7 linked regions of the Rattus norvegicus genome follow. The protein of the gene in region 6 interacts with the protein of the main gene of each other region in a pairwise test. Links are inferred from orthologs where the notes say so. Each region holds a gene or a part of one and is shown on either strand. Other genes may lie near its edges. The genes, in order: Ntaq1, Ttbk2, Atxn1, Inmt, Tbc1d10c, Klhl12 and Pdgfrb.

Evidence for each region.
Region 1: the proteins of Klhl12 (region 6) and Ntaq1 interact in binary tests that used the Homo sapiens proteins (3 or more experiments, as listed by UniProt). The two-hybrid records come from large-scale screens. The link is inferred for Rattus norvegicus from reciprocal best matches to the Homo sapiens genes KLHL12 and NTAQ1.
Region 2: the proteins of Klhl12 (region 6) and Ttbk2 interact in binary tests that used the Homo sapiens proteins (3 or more experiments, as listed by UniProt). The two-hybrid records come from large-scale screens. The link is inferred for Rattus norvegicus from reciprocal best matches to the Homo sapiens genes KLHL12 and TTBK2.
Region 3: the proteins of Klhl12 (region 6) and Atxn1 interact in binary tests that used the Homo sapiens proteins (3 or more experiments, as listed by UniProt). The link is inferred for Rattus norvegicus from reciprocal best matches to the Homo sapiens genes KLHL12 and ATXN1.
Region 4: the proteins of Klhl12 (region 6) and Inmt interact in binary tests that used the Homo sapiens proteins (3 or more experiments, as listed by UniProt). The two-hybrid records come from large-scale screens. The link is inferred for Rattus norvegicus from reciprocal best matches to the Homo sapiens genes KLHL12 and INMT.
Region 5: the proteins of Klhl12 (region 6) and Tbc1d10c interact in binary tests that used the Homo sapiens proteins (3 or more experiments, as listed by UniProt). The two-hybrid records come from large-scale screens. The link is inferred for Rattus norvegicus from reciprocal best matches to the Homo sapiens genes KLHL12 and TBC1D10C.
Region 7: the proteins of Klhl12 (region 6) and Pdgfrb interact in binary tests that used the Homo sapiens proteins (3 or more experiments, as listed by UniProt). The two-hybrid records come from large-scale screens. The link is inferred for Rattus norvegicus from reciprocal best matches to the Homo sapiens genes KLHL12 and PDGFRB.

The regions. Positions count from the first base shown.
Region 1 is NC_086025.1:91,580,359-91,583,858, forward strand, and holds part of Ntaq1 (protein N-terminal glutamine amidohydrolase), read left to right. Parts: intron 1-922; exon of another isoform or gene 923-1,049; intron 1,050-3,107; coding exon 3,108-3,207; coding exon of another isoform or gene 3,208-3,215; intron 3,216-3,500. UniProt on the Homo sapiens protein: Mediates the side-chain deamidation of N-terminal glutamine residues to glutamate, an important step in N-end rule pathway of protein degradation.
Region 2 is NC_086021.1:128,162,417-128,165,916, reverse strand, and holds part of Ttbk2 (tau-tubulin kinase 2), read left to right. Parts: intron 1-3,285; coding exon 3,286-3,497; intron 3,498-3,500.
Region 3 is NC_086035.1:18,942,347-18,946,568, reverse strand, and holds the start of Atxn1 (ataxin-1), read right to left. Parts: upstream 2,801-4,222; 5' UTR 2,608-2,800; intron 2,551-2,607; exon of another isoform or gene 2,397-2,550; intron 1,460-2,396; exon of another isoform or gene 1,318-1,459; intron 1,282-1,317; exon of another isoform or gene 1,080-1,281; intron 920-1,079; exon of another isoform or gene 1-919. UniProt on the Homo sapiens protein: Chromatin-binding factor that repress Notch signaling in the absence of Notch intracellular domain by acting as a CBF1 corepressor. Binds to the HEY promoter and might assist, along with NCOR2, RBPJ-mediated repression. Binds RNA in vitro.
Region 4 is NC_086022.1:85,649,956-85,654,173, forward strand, and holds the start of Inmt (indolethylamine N-methyltransferase), read right to left. Parts: upstream 2,801-4,218; 5' UTR 2,746-2,800; coding exon 2,589-2,745; intron 1,378-2,588; coding exon 1,170-1,377; intron 1-1,169. UniProt on the Homo sapiens protein: Functions as a thioether S-methyltransferase and is active with a variety of thioethers and the corresponding selenium and tellurium compounds, including 3-methylthiopropionaldehyde, dimethyl selenide, dimethyl telluride, 2-methylthioethylamine, 2-methylthioethanol, methyl-n-propyl sulfide and diethyl sulfide.
Region 5 is NC_086019.1:210,910,592-210,914,796, reverse strand, and holds the start of Tbc1d10c (carabin), read left to right. Parts: upstream 1-1,405; 5' UTR 1,406-1,423; exon of another isoform or gene 1,424-1,583; 5' UTR 1,584-1,609; coding exon 1,610-1,761; intron 1,762-2,476; coding exon 2,477-2,576; intron 2,577-2,936; coding exon 2,937-3,044; intron 3,045-3,130; coding exon 3,131-3,237; intron 3,238-3,398; coding exon 3,399-3,513; intron 3,514-4,127; coding exon 4,128-4,193; intron 4,194-4,205. Other genes in the region: Ppp1ca (serine/threonine-protein phosphatase PP1-alpha catalytic subunit), read right to left, coding at 99-153.
Region 6 is NC_086031.1:48,479,265-48,482,049, reverse strand, and holds part of Klhl12 (kelch-like protein 12), read right to left. Parts: intron 1,372-2,785; coding exon 1,176-1,371; intron 367-1,175; coding exon 208-366; intron 1-207. UniProt on the Homo sapiens protein: Substrate-specific adapter of a BCR (BTB-CUL3-RBX1) E3 ubiquitin ligase complex that acts as a negative regulator of Wnt signaling pathway and ER-Golgi transport.
Region 7 is NC_086036.1:56,794,348-56,797,847, forward strand, and holds part of Pdgfrb (platelet-derived growth factor receptor beta precursor), read left to right. Parts: coding exon 1-58; intron 59-555; coding exon 556-767; intron 768-2,942; coding exon 2,943-3,037; intron 3,038-3,500. UniProt on the Homo sapiens protein: Tyrosine-protein kinase that acts as a cell-surface receptor for homodimeric PDGFB and PDGFD and for heterodimers formed by PDGFA and PDGFB, and plays an essential role in the regulation of embryonic development, cell proliferation, survival, differentiation, chemotaxis and migration.

The sequences.
Region 1 (3,500 bases), on a different chromosome or scaffold from region 6:
CTGTAATGGGAATCCAATTTCCTTTTCTGGTGTGTCCGTGGATGGCTATAGTGTACTCATATAAAATAAATAAATGAATCTTTTAAAAAAAGGAACCTTTAGCTTCATTTTTAATTTAACTTTATTTTTTTTAAAGATTTATTTATTTATTTTATTTATGAGTACACTCTATCTGTCTTCAGACACAGCAGAAGAGGGCATTGGAACCCATTACAGATGATTGTGAGCCATCATGTGGTTGCTGGGAATTGAACTCAGGACCTCTGGAAGAACAGCCAGTGCTCTTAACCGCTGAGCCATCTGTTCAGCCCTCATTTTTTATTTTTATTTAGTTTTTTATTTATTTGTTTTCTGGAGACAGGGTTTCTCTGTGTAGCCCTGGCTGTCATAAAATTCTATCTGTAGACTAGACTGGCCTCAAACTCAGAGCTCCACCTGACTCTTCCTCCTGAGTGCTGGGATTAAAGGCGTGTATCACCACTACTGCCACATTTTATTTTTTTCCCTATGTAACATTCACAGAAATTTGAGAAATATCGGGCAGTGTATATTCAAGCCATATCATGAGTTCTGCCTGCTAATGCTGTTTGTAGACTCTTGAACGGTGCCTTAACTCCAAACCACCTTCAGGATGGAGACGGGGACAAGGCAAAAAGGAGAAACTGCTAGCCTGTACCTAAGCTGTTTCCCCATCTCTCTGAACTAATGACTCCTCCTCTGCTGTCTTTATGCACCTTTAATGGACCCCCTGGGATAATTGGTGCTTTGCCTCTATGCCTCTGGTCTGTAGGCATTAATTCATGATCTAAGCACTTAGCTGTGATGTGTATCTCATGCCCTTGAAGATGCTCCTGGTTAAGTTCAGAATTCCTGTGAGACCAGACCAACACATGTCTTCTCAGAACTTGGATAAACATTTTATGGGGTGTGCTCAGAGCAGAGGGCCTAAAGAGTGGCTTCTCTGTTTACAACGCACCCAAGAAGAATCTGGGACCATTGTAATGAGGGGCACAAGCAGTTTCCTCTCTGTGACTGGATCCCCTACATCTGTCTCCCCTATTCATCCACATAGCTTCCAGGCGAAACCAGTGGGACAGGACTTGGTATGGGGGAAGTGTTCCAGCATTTAGCTGCAGGGCGATGTCTAGAGCATAGTTGGTCCATGAGTGAGTGTCCATGGGTGGTCTGAGGAATGACGACTGGACCTGAGTTGGTTCTCTCTTCTCCTCCTGGATACCCAGGAGCGCACGCAGGTCTCAGGCTTAGCCTTTACCCTCTGAGCTAGTTTGCCCTCCCTGAATCTTTCTTAAAAGTGTAGGTGGGGTAAGGGGGACTAAAGTTACCAGCCAGCAAACTGGAAGACTTGAGTTCAATCTCTGGGACCCACAGTCCCTGAAAAGTTGTTCTCTGACTTCCACACATGCACTGTGACATGCAAAAATCTCTGTGTCTGTCTGTCTCTGTCTGTCTGTCTGTCTGTCTCTCTGTCTGTCTCTCTGTCTCTGTGTGTGTCTCTCTCTTTAAATGTAATCGAAAAAGCGTATTTCAGGGCTGGAGAGATAGATAGCTCTGCCGTTGGCAGCCCTGGCTGCTTCAATTCCTAGCAACCACATGGTGGCTCACAACCATCTGTAATGGGATCTAATGTCCTCTGCTGGTGTGTCTGCAGACAGCTACAGTGTAATTGTATACATAAAATAAATGCATAAATAGTTTTTAAAAAAAGAAAAAGCACATTTCTGTAATACTTTTTGTTTACTATAATTTCATAAATTTCCTGCATGCTGTTCCTGTCTTTCTCAGGTAGTGAGGTGTGGATGAGTAGAAATTGGCTCTAACAGTGAGTGATAGGGCCAGCAGAGCGCTCATGAGGCTTATTCTGAGCAGAGGTGTATCTGATTCATTACATACAGATAGGGACCCAGAGGCTGAGCCATGAAGTCAGCTAGGAGGAGTGCCTGTGCTTGCCTGTGCTTGGGAAGGAGGCTCAGTGTGATACCCTGAGCATTGCTTAAGCAGGTTCTGACTATGTCACATAGCTAATTGCCTGTCACATAGGGAGAGATTTGGCTGGGATAGAGCAGAGCATAGGAAGATGAATTTCGGTTTCCACCTTTTTTTTTTTTTTTTAAAGCTCTGGCTGTCCCGGAACTCAGTCTGTAGACCAGGCTGGCCTCAAACCCAGAGATCTGCCTGTCTCTGCCTCTGCCTCTGCCCCTGCCCCTGCCTCTGCCTCTGCCTCTGCCCCTGCCCCTGCCCCTGCCCCTGCCCTGCCCCTGCCCCTGCCCCTGCCCCTGCCCCTGCCCCTGCCCCTGCCCCTGCCCCTGCCCCTGCCCCTGCCCCTGCCCCTGCCCCTGCCCCTGCCCCTGCCCCTGCCGTGCTGGGATTAAAGACGTGTGCCAACACTGTCCAGCTCCTAAAAGGACTTTTAAAATGATTTTTTTATTTTTTAAAATGGAAATGTTTTCAGTTTATTTTAATTTCATATATGTATGTGAGTGTGTATGTGAGTTTGTGCTTGTGAGTATGTCAGATCCCCCTGAAGCTGGAGTTACAGGCAGTTGTAAGCTGCGATGTGGTGCTAAGAATTAAACTAGAAGAGCAGTAGGCATGGTTAATCAATCACCAAGCCAATTCTCCAGCCCTATTTATTTTTGAAACAGGTCCTTACTATGTGGCCCTATCTGGCTTTGAATTGGAAGAGATCTGTCTCCCAAGTACTGGGATTTGAGGAAGGTGACAGTGTGGCGTAAGATTGAATTTTACAGAGGAGAAAAGCAGGGTTTGGAGAAGCCAGGAAGGAATTGCATAGCTGCTTTGCCTGGTGGTGATTGAGTTGGGATTCCAGAGTTTCTCAGCTTTTGGAGTCCTGACATAGTTTTTACTGGCCTCAGTCAGCCTCCTGGGGTAGGAAAGGGCCCTCTGCACGTGTGCACCCAGTACAGGTGGGCTAGCAGCTGTTGGCTGTGCCAAAGCCACCTGTTAACCAGCTGTCAGATGAGGCGGTTACGGTCTTCTCTAGTTATATCCTCACCCATCTTTTGTTTAAATCCAAAAGACAGCTGTTCACTTGTAATTATATTGATTAAGCAATCATTTTGTTTCAGTGAGGAAAACATTTGGAAGCTCTGTGAATACATCAAAACACACAACCAGTATCTGTTGGAGGAGTGCTACGCTGTCTTCATATCGAATGAGAAGAAGATGGTAAGTTGGTAAGTGATGACGGAATGAGGTGAGGCTCAGGGGGACCTGAGAAGCCAAGTACAGCGCAGACACTGTGCTGTTCTAACATACACTTTGGAGCAGCAACCTTTCAAACATTTAGTTTCATTTAGATTCACTTTAGAAGTATTTAGTCCCTTACTCTAGGTGACAAACCGTGTGATGGTGTATTTATGCAGATTACATTCCCTCCCCTCCTTCCTTTTTGAGACAGTGCCTCATAGTATAGACCTTGGCTGACCTGAAACTCACTGTGTAGACCAGACTGGCCACAG
Region 2 (3,500 bases), on a different chromosome or scaffold from region 6:
CATATGTAAGGCTCTGGGTTCCATCTCCACCTCTACCATAAAAGGATGGAGGGAAGGAGGAAGGAGGGAAATCATATGACAAACAGAAAAGAAACATCTGTAGAACAAAAGCGGACCATCTTTCCAGATGACGGCAGGGCTTTGTTCCCTTTCTTGACTCTGATTAGTGCAGCTCTGTTCACAGCCTTGGTGCACTGTCTCTAATGAGGGGAAGAGGAGAGCACAGATCACACTTGATCATAAACTGGTAAAGTGGGTGATAAAAGATAGAATTATACGCAGGTCCACTTGTGAGTGTGGAAAAGAAATAGGTGGGTTTTTAACTCGTGGGCAGATTACCCTCAGACTTTTCTTTGCTCTCACTGTTGATTCTTTTCCTTTCTTGGAATATGAAGATAATGTTGAAAAGGTCATTCATTACAGTAGTAGTAGTTGTTATTGTGTCTTTAATCATGGCAGTTGGGAGATGGAGAGGCAGGCGGATCTCTGTCTCTGAGTTTGAGGCCATGCTGGTTTATAGTGAGTTCTAGGCTAGCCACAGCTACACAGAAACCTTGTCCTGAAAATGATGACAGTGTGAAAGGGTGTAGTTGGGAATGTGAAGGTTAGGGTTCAGCCTTAAAATATGGCTGCTAGAAAGCTGGCCAGCCATTCCTACCTTACAGAGGGACAGGAGAGGTGGCACAGCTGTTACAACAGGGACTGCTGTTGAAAAGGCCCTGAGTTCAGTTCACCACACATCCATGTCTGTTGGCTCACAGCCTTTAACCCTAGCTCCAGATCTGATGATTTGGGATGCTTAAAATCATCTGCACTCAGTGTTCATATATTAACATGTGTGCATGTGCCCCCACCCCCACACACAAACACAAGTGCACAGGCATAGACCCCAGCATGCAATTAGAAATAAAAGTAATTTTTTGTTTTCATTTCCTTTTCAGTATTTTTTTATTCACTTTATCTTGATCACAGCCCACGTCCTCCTCCTCTCCTCCTCCCATTGTCCTGTTGTCCCCATGTCCTCAGAGAAGGGGAGCCTCTCTTGGGCACCACACCACCCTGGGACATCTAGTCCCAGCAGGACTAAGCACATCCTCTTCCACTGAGACCACCAAGCAGTCCCAGGTTGGGGAAGGGATCCAATGGGAGGGAGCAGAGGCTGAAACAGCCCCCACTTGGCTTGTTAGGGAGTCTAGCTTCTGCACACGCCCTGGTTGGTAGTCCACTCTCTATGGGGTCTTCTTTTGGTGTTCTTGACCTTCTGCTTGCCCACTTCTATCCCGCACTCTCCCACTAGATCTCTTTAACTCCCCTGGTGTTTTGCTGTGGGTCTCTGCATCTGAGGAGACTTAGGTTAGGCTCCTGTCTGTGAGCAGAGCAGAGCAGAGCATCATTAATAGTGTAAGGGTGGCTCTCTCATTGGATGAGTCTCAAGTTGGGCAGCCATTGGTTGGCTATGCGCAGTCTCTGCTCCATCTTTATGCCAAGTAATCCTTCCTTCCTTTCTTTTAAGTCAAATGTTATCTTTTTTAAAAAAGAAAAATACCCTTAAGGATATATTCTTAGTATGTTTGGGCTGCTATAATAAAAATATGAAATAGGTACCTTGCAAACAACAGAACTTTATCACTTACAGTGATCGAGACAGATTTGGGGGTCTCTTTAGGACCCCCTATAAAGATACCAGTTTTATGGAGACTGCCTCCATGACCTAGTCATTTCCCACATACCCCATTATCTTAGTTTGGAATTAGGGCGTTCAATACATGAAATATAGCATGAGAATATACAAGTTCAGATTATAGCCTAGGCATACATACTTTCTGACATTTGTAAAAGCATTGGTCTGGCTAATGAATAATGTCTACACGTAGAAGTCAGCAATGAGTAGTCAAAAGTAGGGATTCAATATTGTGTGTGCATTGCTGGAGATTGAACTCAATGCATCAGTTACTAAGCCCACTACTTTTGCTATCTGATTTTTGTAATATCAACTGGGGCAGTCCTTATGGCACCAGAACAAACTAGATTTTGATAGCTTTGGGGGTTTTTCTTTTCTTTTAATTTTTATTTTTATTTTATGTGTGTAGGTGTTTGGCTTGCATGTATGTTGCCCACAGATACCAGAAATAGGTGTCAGGGTCTCTGAAACCTAGAGATAAGTTAGATGTGACTCGCCGTGAGTACTAGTAACTCATGGAGCCATCTCTCCAGCCTGAGGAATTTGGTCATTTGGATTTGTCGGTTGGTTTGAGACAGACTCTGTGTAGCCTATTACCCTGTGCCCAGCCTTCTGCTTGCCCTGGCAGTTTCCAGCAGCTTCTTGTTCTAGTCCGAAGTGTTGGTTTTGTTGTTTGCTTTTGAGGGAGGGAATGAGAAAGGGGTATGACAGTTTGGGCAGTCTCTCCTAACTCTGGTGAGGTCTGTATGTCACAAAAATAACCTCCTTTCCAAGATTTAATTTTAATATAGTGACGTAGGGTTCTTTAAACGTTTAAATAGTTGTAATGTGGGGTTGGGGATTTAGCTCAGTGGTAGGGCGCTTGCCTAGCAAGCGCAAGGCCCTGGGTTCGGTCCCCAGCTCCGGGGGGGGGGTGGGGGGGAGACCTGTCTTAAAATAGTTGTAATGTAAGAAGGACAGTCTTTAAACATTATCAAACTATTCTTCTACAAAAAATAATTTTAAACAAGTAAGTTAATACTAACACCAAGTGTAAACCTAGGAAAAACTGAGTATAAAGAATTGACAAACAGAAATTTAATAAAACAAAACTATTACTGTCTAATATTTTTATTTTTAATTATGTGCATGTGTGTGCAGGTACTCATGGAGGTCAGGGTCTTCAGATCCCTGGAGTTGGAGTTACAGGTGGTTGAGTCACCCGATGTGGGTGCTGGAACCCAAACTCTAGTATTCTGCAAGAGCAGTAGATGTTCTTAACTGCTGAGTCATCTCTCCAGGCCCAAAGTCAAAATATCTTAGTTTTCTTGGCTGGTGAGGTGAGTCAGAAGGTAAAAGTGCTTGCCACCTTACCTGGCAGCTTGCATCTCGGAGAGTCAGCACTCCCACAAGTTGTCCTCTGACCTCCATAGTCACATGTAGTTTGGGCATGTACATACATATATACAGTAAGTAAATACAATTTTCAAAGTTAAATTTTTAAAGATTTAATTTTCTGAAAATACATGTAATCTTTTGTTGACATTATTTCAAAGGCTTCAGTGATTTCTCCTGTGTATAACTTTGGAATAATTTTCATGATTGTATTTTCTATTTTTTTCTAGGCAGCTACTGAAGAAGAAAATAGCCATGGTCAAGTGAATGGAATTCTTAATGCTCCAAGCCTTGGCTCACCAATTCGTGTCCGATCAGAGATTACTCAGCCAGACAGAGATGTTCCTTTAGTAAGGAAGTTACGTTCCATTCACAGCTTTGAGCTGGAAAAACGTCTGACTCTCGAGCCAAAGCCAGATACTGATAAGTTTCTTGAGACCTGGTA
Region 3 (4,222 bases), on a different chromosome or scaffold from region 6:
CACTTATTTGCAAAGCTGCTAAAATATTGACTGATGCGTGGCCAGTTAGAGGACAATCAGAGGAGATTAAATGCCACAGTTAAGCTGTTATGGTGCAATCCCTTTCCAAGAGGGCTTGTGCATGTTTTTCCTCTCTCTGGTGGCTACCTCTAGCTTCCGCTGGCATAAGCTTCATTCAAAAATAAAATAAAAATAAAAATAAAACCCTCGGCTATCAAACTGTCTCAGCTACCCACCCACCATCAATAAACCAGAGGTTTAGGCTTAACGAGGGCTTCTAGGAATGACAGGGCTCTTCAAAAAGCCACACAGAAATGGTTTAGCAAACACTCTTGCAAAAAGTAACCAGCTGTACCTAAAAATACCCAGCCTGTAACTACCTTGTTGCCTACGATCTATAGCAATGCTGTTTAAATATTAAGAAGAGCTCGCATTATAAAACAGAAATGTCACTGAGATGACACCACTAGATTGCTACAGGGAAACATAGGACATACACACATTCCCCTGCATGCCAGGCAGGATGTGAGGTGAGAGCTCTAAAGCATTACTTTTTCTTCTGTAGGTGGTGTGGGGTCTTCTAATTTTACTAATTGTATCCTGTGACTCTCTCTCTGACAAACTAAGAAATCTCTTCGGGGACAGAACCAGTTTGGAGGAGTTCCTACTGCACAACATACGGTAAACAAAATAAAAATAGCTTGCCTTTCTTGTTAGCCACATAGCGCATTATATAACCAGCTTCCGACTGGCTCTTTTTTTTTCCGCCCTTACTACTCTTCAACAATTTCCCAACCTTCCCAAGTATTTATATTACCCTCTTATCTGTAGGATTATACAGCAAGAAAGCAAAAACAAAACAGGACAGCCACGGGATCGAACTAAACCCTTTCGTCTTAGAACCCTGATTCTCCCACCCCGCCCCCCACCCCCACCCGGCGCCCCTGGTAGAGTCTAGACCAGCACCCTACTTCCACCCCCCACCACTAAGGTCCTTGCTCAATCTCTCTAGAAAACCTGAATTGTTTCACCGCTTGCAGTCAGCTCTCTACGTGGTCTGAAATAAAATGAAAGCTCACAAGCCACAGAGTTGAAGGAGGTGGCTAAAGAGAGGTCGAAGGGCTGCAGAGTCAGCTAAGGGACCACTGTGGACCCCACTCCCCATCGCGATGGTCCTGGCCCCCCGCCCGGCGCGCGAACACACGCGCACGCACACACACACACACACACACACACACACACACACACACACACACACACACACACGCACCTACACACTCACACGCACTTACTCCCTGCTCTCCGACCCCGCCTCACCTCTCGCTCCGCCCGTCCGGCCCCTTCCCTACCCCCTGCGGGACTGGCCTGCGCGCTCGGCTGCAACCACGTAGGAGGCGGCGGCGGCGGCGGCAGCCCGGGCAGTGGCGGCGTCTCGGGCCCCGAGTGAACGAGCCGCGGGGCTCCGGGGCACATCCCAATCCCCGCAGCGCCTCCTCCGCCGCCGCCTCCTCCTTCCCCTCCTCCCGTCTTCATTCACCCTCCCTGCCGCCGCGCAGGAGAGCAGTCCCGGCGCAGGGCAGCGCCCGCAGCTCCTCCGCTACTGCCGCGGGCGCCGGCAGGGACGCCGGGCCGAGCTGGGGCGCTCGCGGGCTCCCGGCTCCCGGCTCCCGGCTCCAGCTCCGGTGGCGGCGGCTGCCGCTGCTGCTGCTGCTGCTTTGGATCAGGAAGCGGCCGCACCAACAGGGCGGCGGTGGCGGCTGCAGCTAGGGCCGGTCCCTGTCGCCTCTCCCACTGCGCTGCGATGGCCCGCGTGCCCTTGCCCCCTGAGCCGCCACCTCTCCGCGCCCCCGAGCCTCCTGCAAGTCCCCTCTAGGTCCCCTCCTGGCCCCGAGACGCTGGCCTGGGCGGGGAGACCCCAAGCTCGGGGTTGCCTCTCTCAAGCTAGGCGACCCCGGGCGGGGAAGCCCAGCCCTCCCTCGAGCCCCCGCAGCGCTCGCCGCCCCCACTCGGGAGGGGGGCTGTTGAGGAGTGAAGAGGGCAGCGCGACCCTCCGCGGCTGCCGCCTCCCCCTACGCCACACGGAAGGAGGAGGACGGGGCTCTATGCGCTCGCCGCCGCCGGACCAGCAGCAGCCGGAGCGGGGCGCCGCCGTTCTCCCCACCCGCGCCCCCCGCCCGGGCGCGCCCCCTCTCCTGGCGGCCGCCCACCCAGCCCCTAGCTGCTCCCCTTGCTAGCCGCTCCTGCTCCCAGTGGGGGTCCCGAGCCGGGAGGCAGGAGCCGGGCACTGGTGTATGTACACAGTCACACATACACTCGCGCGCGCCTGCACACACACCACACACACACACACACACACACACACACACACACACACACACACACACACACACACACACCACGACGCGTCGGTTTCCTTCGCTCCTCTTCCAGCTGTTTTCCGTGCAGCCCATTGAGACTGGGGGAGGGGGGTTTTATGCTGGATGTTTCTTTGGCCCCCTCTCCGGAGAGAGCGGATTGGGGTGCGGGAGGAGGTGATTTTAATCTAAATCGGGGGGAGGGGGAGGGGGGAGAGAAAGAATCAGAGGAGGAAAAAAAATAGCCACTTACTGTAAAGTGTAAATGGATCTGGGGTTGCGTGGGGAAGGGGGAACAGAGGGAGAGACACAGTGTCCTGCGGCTGTTGTAGCTCTAGCTGCGGCTCCACGGGGCTTGTTTTGGATCCCCCTGCAGTGAAACAGGTCCTGTACGGCTCCTCCACTGTAGTAGAAATGATGTCTGCGGTATACTCTGCTCTCTCCTCCTCCTCCTCCTCCCCCCTCCCCTCCCTCCTCCCTCCGCCCGCCCTCCCTCCCTCGCGCTCTCTCTCGCGCTCGCTCGCTCGCTCCAGTATGTAAATGTGTAATAGAAGCCAAATATGGAGCAGTTGGCTGCCGCCGCCGCAGCTCAAGGATCCGACTTCATGGGGGGGGGGGGGGGGAGAGGCACCCTCTGGCAGGCGGCCCGGCGAGCCGCACAGAGCACGGCGAGCGCACGGCGCGGCTGCCGGCCCGCGCCCTTAACCCTTCTATGCACCCGGGCTGGGGCAGCGCTCGCTCCAGGGGAGGCCGGGTGTCTCTCCGCAACTGCGACTCCAGATCCCGGACACCGACCGGAGGGAACTGTGCCTTCCAGGTTTGAGAAAGGGGCGGGGAAGTTGGGGCGATGAGGTCATTGGAGTGGTGACCGATCGGTGCTCGCGCGCCTCCCCGGCTCCCTGCAACCTAGTTGGAGGGGGACAGGGTGAGTGCAGGGTGCAACTCAGGCAACCTGGGAGACTCAGAGCAACGGGTGTCAGGCTTTGACTCCCACCTGGTAAAATACCCAAGGGGGCGGGGAAGTCGGCTGATTCTAATTACGAAGCACCCAGGGTGCCCCTGGTGAGCATCTAAGAGGACTCTTTGTATCCCCGCGGTTAACTAGCCAGCCCGCCAGTCCTGAGCCACCCGATGCTAGGCCGGTGCCTTCTGCCTTGGCTTGCAACTCCGGAAAGTTCTCAGGCTTCCCCAGCTTGCACCGGCACCCTCACCTTTCCTGCCTGGACAAGCTGGCGACCTCCTGGGCCTCCTTTCAAATTCTGCTGGTCTAGAAATCTGCTATGAGCATCGAACGTCTCAGCTCTAGCCCTGGTAACCGAACTGCTGCTCACTCCTCACAGCTAACTGTGGACCATTCATCTCATCTCAAGTGAGGTAACCCGTGCACTGAGCAGTGGATGGTGGTTCTCGGGAATCCAAGGCGAAAGAACTTCCCACCTTGGCCCGGTGGCTAAACGCAGACGCGGAGTCCCCACCCGCCCCCTCCGGCTACACCTCAGCCGGGTGTGAGCTCCGTGGGAAGGAATCTTCTCCGGAGGAGTGCACCTTGCCAACAGGTGTGGCATCCGAAGGAAGAGCCCGCACCTCCCCAGGAGGGTCGCTCGGTGTGGCGATCTCTTTGCTGCAGATAATTCTTGAAGACCAGTAGGTGTCAGGCCAGCATCTGACCTCTTTCAGGTGCTTAAAACTAAGAGTCTGGAAACTTGATCCCTTGGTCTCGCTGGAAGCCACTACTATTGACTGTAGCTGGATTTGAGAGACCTTTTGGCTCAGTTTACGTAGGACCTAACAGTTAGTCACTATCTGAAGCAGCGTACAGAGTCACCGAGAGAAACGTGTGAGCTTTTAAACTACTGTATTGTGGAGCC
Region 4 (4,218 bases), on a different chromosome or scaffold from region 6:
TTGTACACACATACGTGCACACACATATACACATATATACATATGCATTTAACATACAGATATATACTCTCATAGACAAAGACATACACACATTCACATACACATATTTATGCTGCATCCACACATAATGCAAACACAAATACACATGTCACACACACGTGCACACATGTCACTCTTATCACACAGCCTTGTGTGTGGTCTTGGTGGCCCTCCTGATGCCTGGCCATGTCTTCTTCATATGTGGATCTGCAGCCCTTGCTGTGTAGCTCATGTCACTTGCATGGCCTTCCTGAGACACATCCCTGTTTCCTCACTTCAACTACAGGAGCTTGATCTCCCAGGAGAGATCACCTCTAGCCTCTCCTCCTGCCTCATATTACCTCTCTCCATCTTCCATGGTGGTAGCTATCTTCCTGTGTAACAGGAGCTCCATGGGGCTCCCTCCTGGCTGTGTGTGCGCTTGACTCATGACACCCAGATGGGACTATCTCCAAGGCTCCTATAATTGTGTCCCTCTAACTATGACCACTGTAGACTGTTCTGGACTGTAACAGTTATGCACTCTGTTTCAATATTACAGGACAGAAATATTAACCTGTTTTTACTCTGCTCTGAGGATGGCTAGAGGACCCTCTCTAAGCCTGGGCCTCAGTTTCCCCATCTGTAGGATAAGGTCAAAATCGCTGATCCTTGCAGCTGCAATTGGAGCATATATCCTCTGTGAACAAAAGTGACCTGCAGAAGGTCACTGCCATTAGTCTCAGTGCTTTGTCACCACGTTGAGGGGACAAGTGTGAAGTACACCCCATAGTCTGTCTTTTCATAACAAGTGTGTTCCCCAATGTCAGAGGAGACACTGAACCAGTTTCCAGAGTAAAGTGGGTGTGGTGTGAGCTGGGTAGTCGGCAGGACTTCCTGGAGGAGGTGGCATAGAAGCTTGAGTCACAGCTGGGTTGAGCAGAGAAAGGGAGAGTAGGGCCAGATGGTTTTGGGAGACATTAGGGCTAGAGTTAGGACTAACCCAGAGGGAATGTTATAGGTTCACGAGGATAAGGTGGGCCAGGAGGAAAGGGAGGTGCGTGGTGGGTTCCTGTGCTGTCCTGAGTACCAGAGGGGCCTTGTCTGAGAAGGACTAGATGGGTGGACAACATGGGACCACTTGCAAATACCTGTCTCCCTCCAGCTCACACACATGTTGTACAATGGAGGACCAGTCATAGGCTCCTGGCTCCTTCTTCAGCCATTTCTGCAGCTCCTGCAGGTTCTGTGGGGTGTAGTCAGTGGCGATGATCTCCCGGAAGACCTCGCATGCTGAAAGCAGCTGGTAGATGGTGGGGCCAGAGCCAATGTCAATCAAGACATCTCCCCCTACACCTCCTGTGGAGATAGACAGCATGGCAGGTCTGGGCACCCTGACTTCACATCCTGCAGAGTGACTCCAAACCACATTAGGATGCGCCTGCTCAGAAGGGCAGCAGCTGCTTGCCTCTGGGCTGTGTGTTGACAGGACTGGGGAGCAATGCTCGGGGTGGGGTAGAGCTGATTTTCTTAACTGCCTCCCCATTACTCCCAGGATACCAGTGGAGGCCTGGGAGGTATGTCTGGCCTTCTTGTTAAATTTAGGATTTCTCTCTCTCTAATCATGGGTTTATCTGGAAGAACATTGGATTTAGAAAACTGGGGGAATTGATGGAGTGGCAGGGTCTGGGATAAAGGCTGAGAAGGATGCCAGCCAGTTCTTAAGCCCTCTGGTTTGCTAGGAAAGGCAGCCACACATAAGAAAGCGAGGCACCCTAGTGTATGCCCTCTCAGCCTGCTCTCTTCTCAGTCTCCTTTTATACCTACTATGCTCCTGCCAAGGACCAATGCCTATACTGTGTCCCAGCTTTCTCCAGGAGCACCAGACTTCCCTTCCTCTACATTCTGAGGTTGCTCACCTGTTCCTTGGCACTGAATGTCTGGTTAAGAAGGCTTTCACGGGCTGGGGCGGGTGGTTTTGCAGAGAGCAATCTCCAGGGTCACACAGAACACACTCCCCATTAGTGCTGGGCCACTCTAAGTATTATGCTTTCTTCTTGCTTCTTGGAACTATTAGTTCCCCAACTTTGACTGGCCACCTCTTTCCCTCCCCACCATGCCCAGCCTTAGTTTCCCCTTAGACGTGGGAGGGGGGCAAATTATGGAAACTTGTATACAGGTATGTGGGGAAGAATTTTCATTAGATTTTTTTTCAGAGAGATTCAAGGTCCCAGAAAGGCTACAGAGCTTTCTGGAAGGCCTCTGGCAGAAAGGGAGGGAGGAGGAGCAGCCTTAGTGCCCAGTTTCATGTCACTTCTCTCAGCACGGGCCTAGTAGCCCCACAAGTCTGGGTGTACCCCTCAAAGTTTACAAGTGAAGCGGCTAAGGATGATCATGGCTGCAAGCCAACTTCTTTGCTCCAGAGGCATGGCTCCTCTGGACCAGCACACACTGCCGTCTGGGCCCTGTGGGCTTCCAGGCTAGTCACTTCTGTAGCGTCTGTATGTACAGGATGAGCTCTTTCTGTTGGCACAGCTCCAGCCCCTCCCTAGGGGACCTCAGCCACTCACCTGTAGAGAAGGTCTGGTAGAGGTTCTGCAGGCTGAATTTTACAATTTCCTGTTCTGCCACCGTGCCAGAGTCGAAGCTGTAGAAGGTGGTCAGGTAGTCTTTGGGAGTGAACTCTTTTTCATAGTCCTCACCTCCCATGTATACCTTGCCTGCCATTCTAGTCAGCCTCCACAGCTGCCTGTATTCCTTTGTCCCTGCAGAATGCTCACTCCTTCCCACCTTACCTTTTATAATCTCTGTGGTAAACTTCCCTTCTCAGGGAGGAGCTAGGGTCCCTGGAGATGGTGTCATAGTGCTGGTGTCAGATTTCTGGCTAGATTTGATTTTTGTGATGAAGCAAGAGGATGCTAGAGGGCCCCCAGTCCTGTCCTGGGTCATTGGGTCCTGAAGCTCTCATCTCTAGTTCTCTAGGGTCACGGTGTGCCAACGACTGGAATCGGGAGAGGGAGAGTATTACAGAGGGATAGAGATGCACAGACAGACAAAGAGGCAGAGACCAAAGAGATGAGGATCTGCTCGGGGATGCTTCACTCCTGGGGTTGAGAGTTGAGGGTGGGGACACAGGGCCAGGCCCCTGGCCAACACATTCAGGGCCCCTGGGCTTCATCTTGGATACAGCAAACAAAACAAGAAGCAGTGCTGAAGTGCTCCTCAGGCTGGGGAAGTAGGAGGATCAGAGATTCTTAAAATCTCTTTGCTATTCTACACTCAGTGAACTTGCCCTTGTAAACAGCTCATCTTTAACTGAGTTAATGATTCTCCAGTGGTTTAAGTCTTGTTTTCTCGTTTGGCTTAATGTTTTCTTTTATGAACTCAGGAGTAAACTTTGACAGCACCTCCCCAAGTCACTAGGCCTGTGCCTTGGCCAAGTCCTGCATTTGGACAAACAATTGAAAACATGTATTGGCACTACATAGAATGCCACACCTCCTCAGACACATGTGTGCACATGTGCGTGTTGTCCTCTACTCGTCCCCAGAATCATCAGCTTACATAGATCTGGTGTGGTCTGGTTTGGTTTCTTTGAAAGATGATGCCCCAGTTTGCTTTGTATTGCAATGGTAAACACCAGGACCAAAAGCAACTTGAGAAGGAAAGGATTTGTTTGTCTTGCACCTCCTGATCACATCTGTCACTGAGGAAGAGCAGGGCAGGAACCTAAGCAGGAGCAGAGGCAGGGACAGGGAAAGAACACTGCTCACTGGCTTACCCTCCATGGCTGGCTTAGCCTGCCTTCTTATATAATCCAGAACCACTGGCTAAAGGGTGGCACCACCCTCAGAACACTGGGCTCGCCCACATCAATCATTAATCAAGAAAACACTCCACAGGCCAGTCTGATGGAGGTCATTCCTCACTTGAGGGTCCCTCTCCCCAGGTGACTCTAGTTTGTGTTAGCTTGGAAGAAACTAACCAGCACAGTCGCTACCACAAAAGGAAAATGGACAGGGTGGACAGAGGCTGTGTAGACTCTTATTCTACTGTAGGAGAGTGTACAATGATCACACACGTGCGTGCACACACATATGCACCCACACGGGAGGGCACATGTGTACAAGCTTGCCTCATCTCTTTCCAAACGTCATTCAAGGTGAGAGCTTCTGGGTAGCAAACTTCAGAATGTGTTCC
Region 5 (4,205 bases), on a different chromosome or scaffold from region 6:
ACGCTAGCCCCCGAGAGCGGCGGGCCCGCCCGCGCTCTACTTCCGGACGGCGATGGGCCCAGGCTCGGCGCGCGCGCACCTTCCCTACCCCTACCCACCTTCCAGCAGGCGCCCGATGATGGAATCCAGGTTGAGCTTCTCGCTGTCGGACATGGCGGCGCCGCCGCTCCGGCCCACCAGCTCCGGGCCCTCTCCTGCCTCCCGCCCTCTTGCAGCCTCCTTCCGGCCTGGCTCTCCTTCCGCCCTCCCCAGCCCGCCCTCGGCCCGCCGCCCCGCCTCTTCGGCCGGCCGCCCCGCCCTGCCGCGTCCGTAGTTCCCTGCTCTCTAGCGCCTCCCCTGGACCGGAAGCACTGCAGCCGGGGAGGGCCTCGGGCGGCCGGGCGAGGCCTGGCAGGGGTGGAGGGCGGGGTTTGTAGGGCGGAGTTGGGTCGGCTCCACCCAGGAGGAATCGCCCTGCTGCGTTCTGATGAGTTAGAACCGGAAGTACTGTAGAAATTGTTTTTCTCTTTCCAAGTCTCTTCCCACCCCAGCCCTGCGTGGGATTGTGGTGTGAGCATGTTAATCGCTGACTTCTCAAACACTGTAAAGTAATTCCTCGAAGTGCAGAAAAAGGAACTAAGGCTCAATGACACTGAGAGTGAGCTCCAAACCTCCAGAGCCTCACATTCACCTCGGTCTTTATGGCCAGACCCATGAACACCTGCTACTGAACTCGAAGCAATGTTTTGGTCCAGGTTGCCTTGGTGCCTGCTACGTCAGGTTTTTTTTTTCGTTAAGTGATGTAATACTATTTTATCTCCTTCCTGTTGTAAGTCCTTTGTAGAATGCTTGGACTTGTCTAGCATGTGCAAGGCCTGAGGTTTTATCTCCGGCTCTGGAAGGAAAGTAAAGAAAGAAAAGGGGGGAAAGGTATTATTTTTAAACAGTAACACATTAAAGAACCCAATGTATCATAAACCTGTAATTCCAGTGCCTGAAATTCCAGCACTCAGGAGTCTGGACACAGGAGGATCAGAAGTTCAGGGTCATGCTCAACTACATAGTGAGTTCATCTCCTGCCTGGGCTACGTGAGACCCTTGTTCCCAGACTGTACCCTTTCACTCTCAAAAAAGAAAACCCAGGACAGTGGGTTGGAGTGGTGGGACGACATTAAAGCATAATTATTACTGGAACCATGAGTTGGTTTTACACGCAAGTAACCTCAAAACCGATAGTGGCCTGTCATCTTCAACTTGGGCAAGTCGGGGACTCTTCACACCTCCCATCCGTGATGGGAGGAGTCCGTGGCTCAGGCACTAAGGCAAGCAGGAAGAACCTCATAGAGGAAGGGGGGAGTCCCCCCACCAGGGAGGGGCCCCCAATAGGCTGCTGAAGCTGAGACTGAGGAGGAAGTGAGAGGAGGAGGTGAGGTGCAGCAAGGAGGTGAGCTGGGCTAGGGGCCAGGCCTGGGGTGGGTCTCTACACAGAGACTTGGTCTTTGTGGTACCTCAGGGACTACCTGACTCCCCCGTGACTGAGGACTGGTTCCTGGAACCCCAGCCTCAGTCTGGCTGTTCACACTGGCTCTCTATATGTCTTGCAGCCTGTGACACTGGGGTCTAGGGCAGAATGGCCCAGGCCCTGGGAGAGGACTTGTTGCTACCGTCAGAACTACAGGATGATTCTAGCTCTCTAGGGTCCGACTCAGAGATCAGTGGGTCCAGCCCATATCGTCAGGCTGACCGATATGGCTTCATTGGGGGCAACTCAGCTGAGCTGGGGTAAGTGAGGCATGGGTAGGGGAGATGGTAGGGGACAGAGGCTGAGGACTGAGTTCTGGAATCAGGCCTGGCCTCTAGGGTCTTGCTGTAGACACCAGCCCAGAACTCAGCTGTGACATTCCAGTGTCACTCCTCAGGTTCCATGTGGGATTAAGGTAAGAAGGGTGGTGGAGGGAAGGTCTTTTACATCTCTATTATCCCCCGAGGGTCTGCACTTTCTCTTCAAACTGAACATCTTTTCCCTTTTCATCTCTGGCCCAAGAACTCCAGATGGGAATTCGGATGTCTTTCATTCTCTTCTCCAGGTTTACCTAATACAGTTAATCAGATTCAGACAGAAACTTGACACATCACATAGCAGATCAGAAACAGAAGCAGATTCAAACTCAGGGCTTCTGCCTTCCAGTGCAGGGCACTGTCCTGCCCACCCAGCTTCCCTGTGACCCATCTCTGTCTCTGTTTTAGAGGACAGCCAAACAGACCTTCTCTAAATACGCGTCTCCTCATCCCGTTGGCCTTGCCAGCTTCCATCCCTACTGAGGCCCAAATCCCTTCCTTTACCTGTACAGCCATTGGCAGCTTCTGGGCCACAGATCATTTCCCAGGACTCTTCAGAGAGCCCCAGACCAGGAGCTGGGGTTTCTCTGATAGACTGGAATGGGAAGGTATATGTTCCAAGGAATACTTTGGTACTGTGTCTGCTCTGTACCTCCAGGCTTGGTCAACCCCCTGCAGACCTTATTCGCCAGCGGGAGATGAAATGGGTAGAAATGACCTTACACTGGGAGAAGACCATGTCTCGACGATATAAGAAGGTAAGGAAAGAGAGGTCTATGTACACTGGTTCCCAAAGCTCTTATCCCCCTGCTTCTGCTGCCCAAGTGGACTCTTGACCAATGAAAAGCTGTCCTTAGAGCTGACCAGTAGTGGTGTGTGCCTTTAATCCCAGCACTCAGAAGGCAGAGGGAGGCAGGTCTCTATGAGTTGGAAGCCAGCCTGGTCTACAGAGTGAGTTCCAGGACAACCAGTACTGTACTACACAAAGAAACCCTGTTTCAAAACAAAAACAAAAACAAAAAACAAAAGAAAAGGAAGGAAGGAAATTGTGCTTCTGTGCTTGGGACCTGCAAGAGAGCAAGACAAGTTAACCTGACACACCTTGACCCCACCCACAGGTAAAGATACAGTGCCGAAAGGGCATCCCCTCAGCCCTACGTGCCCGGTGTTGGCCCCTACTGTGTGGGGCCCATATGTGTCAGAAGAACAATCCTGGCACCTATCAGGTGAGAAAGTTGGCAGAATCTTTATTACTCCTTCTCAGAGCTCCCTGCCATCTGACCCCTCACATGTACCTTCCCACCACCCACAGGAGCTGGCAGTGGCCCCAGGGGACCCGCAGTGGATGGAGACCATTGGCAGGGACTTGCACCGGCAGTTCCCTCTGCACGAGATGTTTGTGTCACCCCAGGGACATGGGTACGAGGCAAGGGATACCCAGTGACACCAGGTCCTCGTGCTAGATCCATTAGTCATTCTTTTACATCCTTGGATGAGGGAGACCATAGCCTGGGCAGAGGCCACAGAGGGCAGGGCAGGGATGCCTGGGAGGCTAGCCTTAATGAGATCTTCTGGCACAGGCAGCAGGGGCTGCTGCAGGTTCTCAAGGCCTACACCCTGTACCGGCCAGAACAGGGATATTGCCAGGCTCAGGGACCTGTAGCTGCTGTGCTGCTCATGCATCTGCCCCCAGAGGTGAGTGACCTTGACCCTGCTCTGAGACACCCCAACCCCAACCCCAGGTACTCGGACCTCAGGAATCTGTGTTCCTTTACTTCAAGCCCTGTTCTTGCGACCAAAGCCTCATGTCTACCCATCTCACTAGCCCTTAAGTTTATTATCCCTGACTTCTGAACCTGGGACCTTTGATCCTGACCTTTACTCCAGTGATCTAGGAGTCTGAAAAAAATTTCACTTTAACATTCTGAATATTGATTCTGAGATCTGTACCATGCCAAGGCTTACCAGGAACATTCCCTCACATTGACTTTCCCTGTCTTATAATTTGTGGCACTGAGGATCTGGAGCACTGTGGCCTTGGCCGTGGGTTGGGGTGGGAGGCACCCAAATGACCTTAGGATTCTGGGATATAAGCTCTGAGAGTCTCCCAACTTTTGCTACAACCGTATGGCCCTCAAATATAGAACCCCAGGCCCTGTGAATTCCAACTCCTCCCCTCCTGGACACGGTGGGCTCTGAGCAGGGTGGAAGTGGCAGGAATCCAGGCCCCTGTGCATGTGTCCCACCCCTCCTTCCCCTCTATGGACAATTCCTTCCTGAGTACTCACAGGCCTGTGCCCTGCCCTCAGGAAGCCTTCTGGTGCTTGGTGCAGATCTGTGAGGTCTACCTCCCTGGCTACTATGGGCCCCACATGGTAAGAGGCTGG
Region 6 (2,785 bases):
TTCAATTGATTCAGTTCTATTTTTTCCAGGTCGGAGAATATGCAACATCCTGCACATTGCTTACAAGAAAAATATAATCCTATTCATGGACAATACATTGAGATAAATCAGAGTTTTTGTTTGATGTGAGTATATACACATAATTTTGGTAAAAGTGATGCCCTCTGGAGTCCACTAAGCTGGCCCAGCCCCACCCCAGGCTCATACCTAGACAGTAGATTATGCCGCTGGCCACCACTAGTCCCGCGCCCTCTCGAGCTGTCTGCATATCTCCCAGCATACTCCACTGGTCAATGTTTGGGTCATACCGCTCCATACTTGTATGACGCCTGCTTCCATCAAAGCCTCCAGAAACGTAAATCATATCTGCTCAGAGTGAACAAATTATAGACTGTTAAATTAAGAAGGAAAAACTTCTAGGACTTTTTTCTCTACAAATCACTGACTGTTAAGATGCGAGGAGGAGATGCACACATGAGTGTAATTACCTCACTCAGGAGATTCAGGAGGAGCTTCAGGAGTTCAAGGCCACTGTGACCAGAGACAAATTCAATGCCAGCCTGAGCTATTTGAGAACTTGTCTCAAGCAAACAAATTCTTATTCTTTCTTCAAGTTGATTTTTATTATTGTTCTTAAATTTCCCACTGTGTATATTAACTGTATATGGTAGTGTGTGTGTAAAAGTATATTTTGTACTCTGAGCATTTTCCCCTTAGATGATAAGTCACTCAAGTCTCGGAAGAAGAAAGGCAGTACAAACAAGCATTTAAAGCTCATTCATGCCTTTATGTACACCCGAGTTTCAGACAAGCTACACAGGGAAATTTACTGAACTCCATCTCAAGAAAATAAAAATTCTTAAGAGATCCGGGTGGTGGTGCATACTTTAAATGTCAGCACTCTGGAGGCAGGGGGAGGTGGATCCGAGTTCAAGGTCAGCCTGGCCTACAAAGGGAATTTAAGGGCAACCATGGCTATATAGAGAAACCCTGTCTTGAAAGACAAAACAAAATGAACTACAAAAAGAAATACTTAAAGGCACTGACGACTGTCCACATGGAATTTATAAACTATGACCAGTGCCCATGACCGTACAGCACAATTGAGCTCAGACATCGGTCATGCTCCCATCAAAGTAGAGGAGCTAAATGAAGCAGCATTTATCATCAACTACCTCCCAGTGTGGTGGCTCCAGCAAGGCCTCGCCGCACATTCATAGGGGCCACAGAGTACCACACTCCGTCTTCATCTGCTGTGTAGTCTAGACACTCCACTGAACTGAGGCGGGAACGGCCATCATAGCCACCAATCACATAGATCCGATCATGTAAGGAAACCGAGGCCACATACCGTCTCTTGCGAGTGATACTCTATGGATTTGGGAGAGAAAAGGAAGAATACCATTCAGATGGGCAAGCTCTAGCCCCACCTTTCTCCGCACCCTGCCTGTTCTAATCTTCTTTGCTTATACCCTGCTTCCCTTCACACAAGGGAAACCCCCTTGTGGCTAAGGTTCACCTTGAAAGGGGCTAGGTGACCACCTACAGAGTGAAATGCTTCTGCCTCATTGGGAGGTTTACAGAACATGTGATAGCTTTCTACTCCCCTTAAGGCACTGCGCCAAGAGACTGAATATCCTTCCATAGGAAAAGAACTGGCACATTGCTAATCCTGAGTCAGTACTGAAATACCCTAAAGGGTACGAGTGGTCCAAAGGCTTTCCATGTCTCCTCAGAAATGGTTCTTGGTTGTACAGTACTGAAATACCAAAAGGAGACTTAACTTTTTCAGTTGAACAGGACTCAACATAACTGAGTTTAATCTAGCACAGCATGACCAACAGTACAGGCTGTGCAGCCTGAACGGTGGTGGCAGCTAAATGTAATACATGGCTCCTGACACTTCCACAGTGAGAACTTCTAAACAGACAGAAACTAAGCTGGGTGTGGTGGTGGCACATGCCTATAATGCCAGCATTTGTCAGCCTGAGGCAGGACTGTCATAAATTTAAGGTCAGCCTGGGCTATACATTGAGTATCAGGCCAGCCAGAGCTATACAGCAAGACCTTATCTCGGTTGGGGATTTAGCTCAGTGGTAGAGCGCTTGCCTAGGAAGCGCAAGGCCCTGGGTTCAATCCCCAGCTCCGAAAAAAAGAACCAAAAAAAAAAAAACCTTATCTCAAAAAACAAGCCAACTGGTGGCTCAAATGTGTAACCCTGGCACCCAGGAGGGTGATGAAAGCCTGTAAGTTTGAAGCCACCCAGGGTTACATAGTGAGACTTTGTCCCAGGGAGGGATGTGTGTGTGTGTGTGTGTGTGTGTGTGTGTGTATGTGTGTGTGTGTATGTGTGTGTGTGAGCAAGACAGTTTCAGGAAGTAAGGAAGCCTGTATGTTTGTGACCAGTCAGGAATACAAAGTGAGATGTCTCAAAACAAACAAACAAAAAAGGGACCAGCAAGATAGTTTGGTAGGTAAAGGTGTCTGCTGCTAAGGCTGATAACCCAAATTTGATCCTTGAGAATTGTTCTCTGACCTCCACACACATGGTATGGCACAGATACGCCCACATGTGTGGACACACACAAAAACAATGGAATAAGAAATGGAAAAAAAAAAAAAAAAAACAAGAAATAACTACTACTATCCAAAGAACTATACACAGTGCGGCTGAAAGGGACATGCACTGTGCTATTCTGAGCTTTTCTACTCACTAAGCTGGTCATTTATGAGCTAGTGTCAAGAACCAATGACATTTCAACTTTGCTGGAAATGGTTCCACCAT
Region 7 (3,500 bases), on a different chromosome or scaffold from region 6:
GGGGCCGGGGCATGCCTCAGCCAAATGTCACCTGGTCTACCTGCAGAGACCTCAAAAGGTGAGCACACCTTGAGGCCAGGCCTCCCAGAGTATATGCAGCTGCCTAGAATGCTCCTTTAGGGTAATCTAGACCGGCCTCTTCACCTGAGAGGTCCAGGCCACATCTTTGATCATTCCTCTGCCTTCCGGGAGATACCTAACCCACATTTCTCCTTTTCTTACCTTGATCCTGAGCCATCCTCAACCTAGGAAGGTGCAGGGTCTGGCCCCCAGAGGTGTCTAGTTCACCCAGTGGATATGCGGGGATTGCCTCTCTATCCTTAACACGTTGAGTAACCTTGAGTCAAATGAGTGAATTTTGCCATTCAGGAGTCTCAGTTCTGGACTGGGAGCGCCCCCTGCTGGCCCATCTAGGCAGCACAGTAGGAATCTGCTTAAAGAGCAAGCAAAGAAATCAAACGTTTCTACCACCATTCACAGTCTTACTTTCCCCCACCATTTGCAGAGAGGAAGCTAAGAGAGTCTGCAAGCCAGTCCTTTTGTGTCTCCTGGCAGGTGTCCGCGAAAACTGTCACCCACACCCTTGGGGAATAGTTCCAAGGAGGAGAGCCAGCTAGAAACGAACGTGACTTTCTGGGAGGAAGATCAGGAATATGAGGTGGTGAGCACGCTGCGCCTGCGTCACGTGGACCAGCCACTGTCAGTGCGCTGTATGCTGCAGAACTCGATGGGCAGAGATTCACAAGAGGTCACCGTGGTACCACACTGTGAGTGCCCTAGCTGCGGATGGCTCTGATGAGCTCTCACCCCTTCCTTGATCCCACCTCACTGAGTCCGAGTTCCCAAAGCAGATCAAGTCAGCATACTCAGAAGAATGTTACAAAGTCTACCAGAGTAGGTTCCTAGGTGCGCACACGAAATGTGACATTGACACAAGTGCACAAACACAACTTTATACACCACAAACACGAAACACATTGACATTTAGGTGTAGAAAGTGAAACTGGCACGCGAGATGCATGCTGTAAACTTGCATGAGCCGGTTGATACTGGGAGTCAGGCGTACACTCTTCACGGGCACGCCGTCTGCGCCGAGGAGGCTTTGTCTCCAGAGTATATGCGTGTTAGCATCTACTCAAGCATACCCAGTGCTGTTCGTGGATGTGAAACTGCAGAATATATTTTTGTGAGCCGTGCGTATGAGACCAGCCAGATCTAATATATCAAATGCTGAAAGATGAGTGGGGATTAGCTAGCTCGTGAGGGCTGTGGAAAAGCCTAGCATAGGCTCTGTGTGGGTTCTGAGGAGTTGAAGCAAATGAGCCCGGATGCAGGGCACACTGTATGTGGATTTGGAGTAGGGGAGGGATTAGGGAGGGAAGTGGTAAAGAATGGGGCTACAGGATGCAGAATACAGCTACAAGATACAGGATACAGGATACAGCTGCAAAGAGTATTTCGTAGACAATCAAACACAGACCCATGCACACTGCGCATATACCTGAAAACAGAGACATGCACACACCCACGCAGGTGTACACACACAGAGGCTTCCGCAGGCTTGTACATGTCTGCTTATGTACATGCCTGTCACCTGCCCTTAGAGGAAGGGTGAGCTTTTAAAGCATCCTTACTGGGACTGCAGAGATGGCTCAGAGGTTAAGTGCACTTGCTGCTCTTCCAGAGGCTCTGAGTTCCGTTCCCAGCACCCACATCAGGCAGCTCACAACCACCTGTAGCTCCAGATCCCGTGGATCTACAGCCTTCTTCTGACCTCTGTGAGCATCCACATGTGTGGCATTCTGTCATACAAATGCTCACATATATACACACAAAAATATATAAGATATGTGTTCATTGCTTTAGGCATCGCAGATTTCTTTGCACTTGCACTGCCAAGCATATAGTCCTTACGGTCTAGGTGTTAGAAAAATTAAGTGCCCTTATTCCCCCATATTCTCATCTATGCACACAGGTAGACTAGCTCTGGGCCCGAGTAAATGCAGAGGAAAAGTCATGTGTGACGCCTGCACAGGACGCCATGTGCTATTACACGGAGACCCAGCTATTACACGGAGACCCAGGATGACTCTGATGGGTCTCTGGAGAGTGCAGGCTTCCTTTGTAAGACCAGGATGTAGGGATGTAGGGAAGAGAGAACAGAAATGTCAGCCAGTGACCCTGAGAAGGAAAAGATGGGGCTAAGCCAGAGGAAGGCTCCCTGGGGAACAGAGGAGGGCAGGAAGAAGCAAATTCCCAGAGCACAACAGCTCCTGCTAAGTGGGAGAGGACAGGGGATGGGGGTTCAGCCAGGCTGACTAGGGAGGTGATGTAAACAGTGAGGCTGAAGTCTTGGGCTAGAGAGGACTCAGGGCTCAGGGAGACCTGCATGTTCACCTCAGGGCCCCGGGAGGTGCATACTGACTGTGCCACACACACTAGTGGTCCCCAGGCTGGGGCTGGGAGGAACAGACTTCTGGTGGTGGATTATTCAGGCTGCTGAAGTTCAGAGTCAGCTCCTTCGGGAGTCACTCGGTGAGTGCCTCAGCCATTTGGTTAGGAATGGCTCTTAAATCTATGACCCAGGAATGACTGCCCAATAGGGCATGGACTCAGAGAAGAGGGGGTCGTGGCCTGGTCCCCAGAGTGCCTAATGCTGTGAGAGGCATAGGTCATTCTCAGGAACCAGAAGAGAGTTCCCCAGCCTAGCTGGATGTTGCAGAAGCCAGCCTGAGCCTGACTGTCATCTGAGGGGAGTCACTGAGGGGCCCTGGGCTTGTAGGAAAGACCAGAGTGTAGGCCCTGAGGTCAGATATCTAGGCAGTAAGAGCTCACGTGCTCAGCAGAGCAAGTCCAACGGATCTGTGATGCTCCCAGCAAGATGGGGAAAGCAGCTACCCAGATACTGTTTGCTTATGGCCTACTCTGGTCTTTGTCCTCAGCCTTGCCTTTCAAAGTGGTGGTGATCTCAGCCATCTTGGCCTTGGTGGTCCTTACTGTCATCTCTCTCATCATCCTCATCATGCTGTGGCAGAGGGTAAGCCTGTGTATGGGTGCAGAGTGGTACCCATATTTCCTCACGGTCTCCACTGTATGTTACACAATCCAGCCCATAGGAAAGGCACAACACAGAGTTCAGCCTGGAGCTGACTTAGAGCGTTGCTGGGTCTCCAGCTCCCTCAGTCCTTACTGGGCTGACGTGATCAGTCCAGGACTCTTGCCCCTGCTCTTTCCTCTGCCTCAGTCCTTCCCGCTCAACTCAGTCCTGGTGCAAATGGTGCATTGTGGGTGGACTATCATGGCCCCAAGATTCTTTCAGCTCTAACCCATAGAGACTGCCATGAGTCACAAGAATGCAATCTGACCCCAGGATTCTGTTCTGACGCTCTATTCTGACATTTCCCCTTTCTGTAACTCCAAACACTTAAGATTCCGGAATTGGGACTCTAGTCCCCCTTCATCCTGTCATTATAAGATTCCAATCCTGTGACTCCAAGATC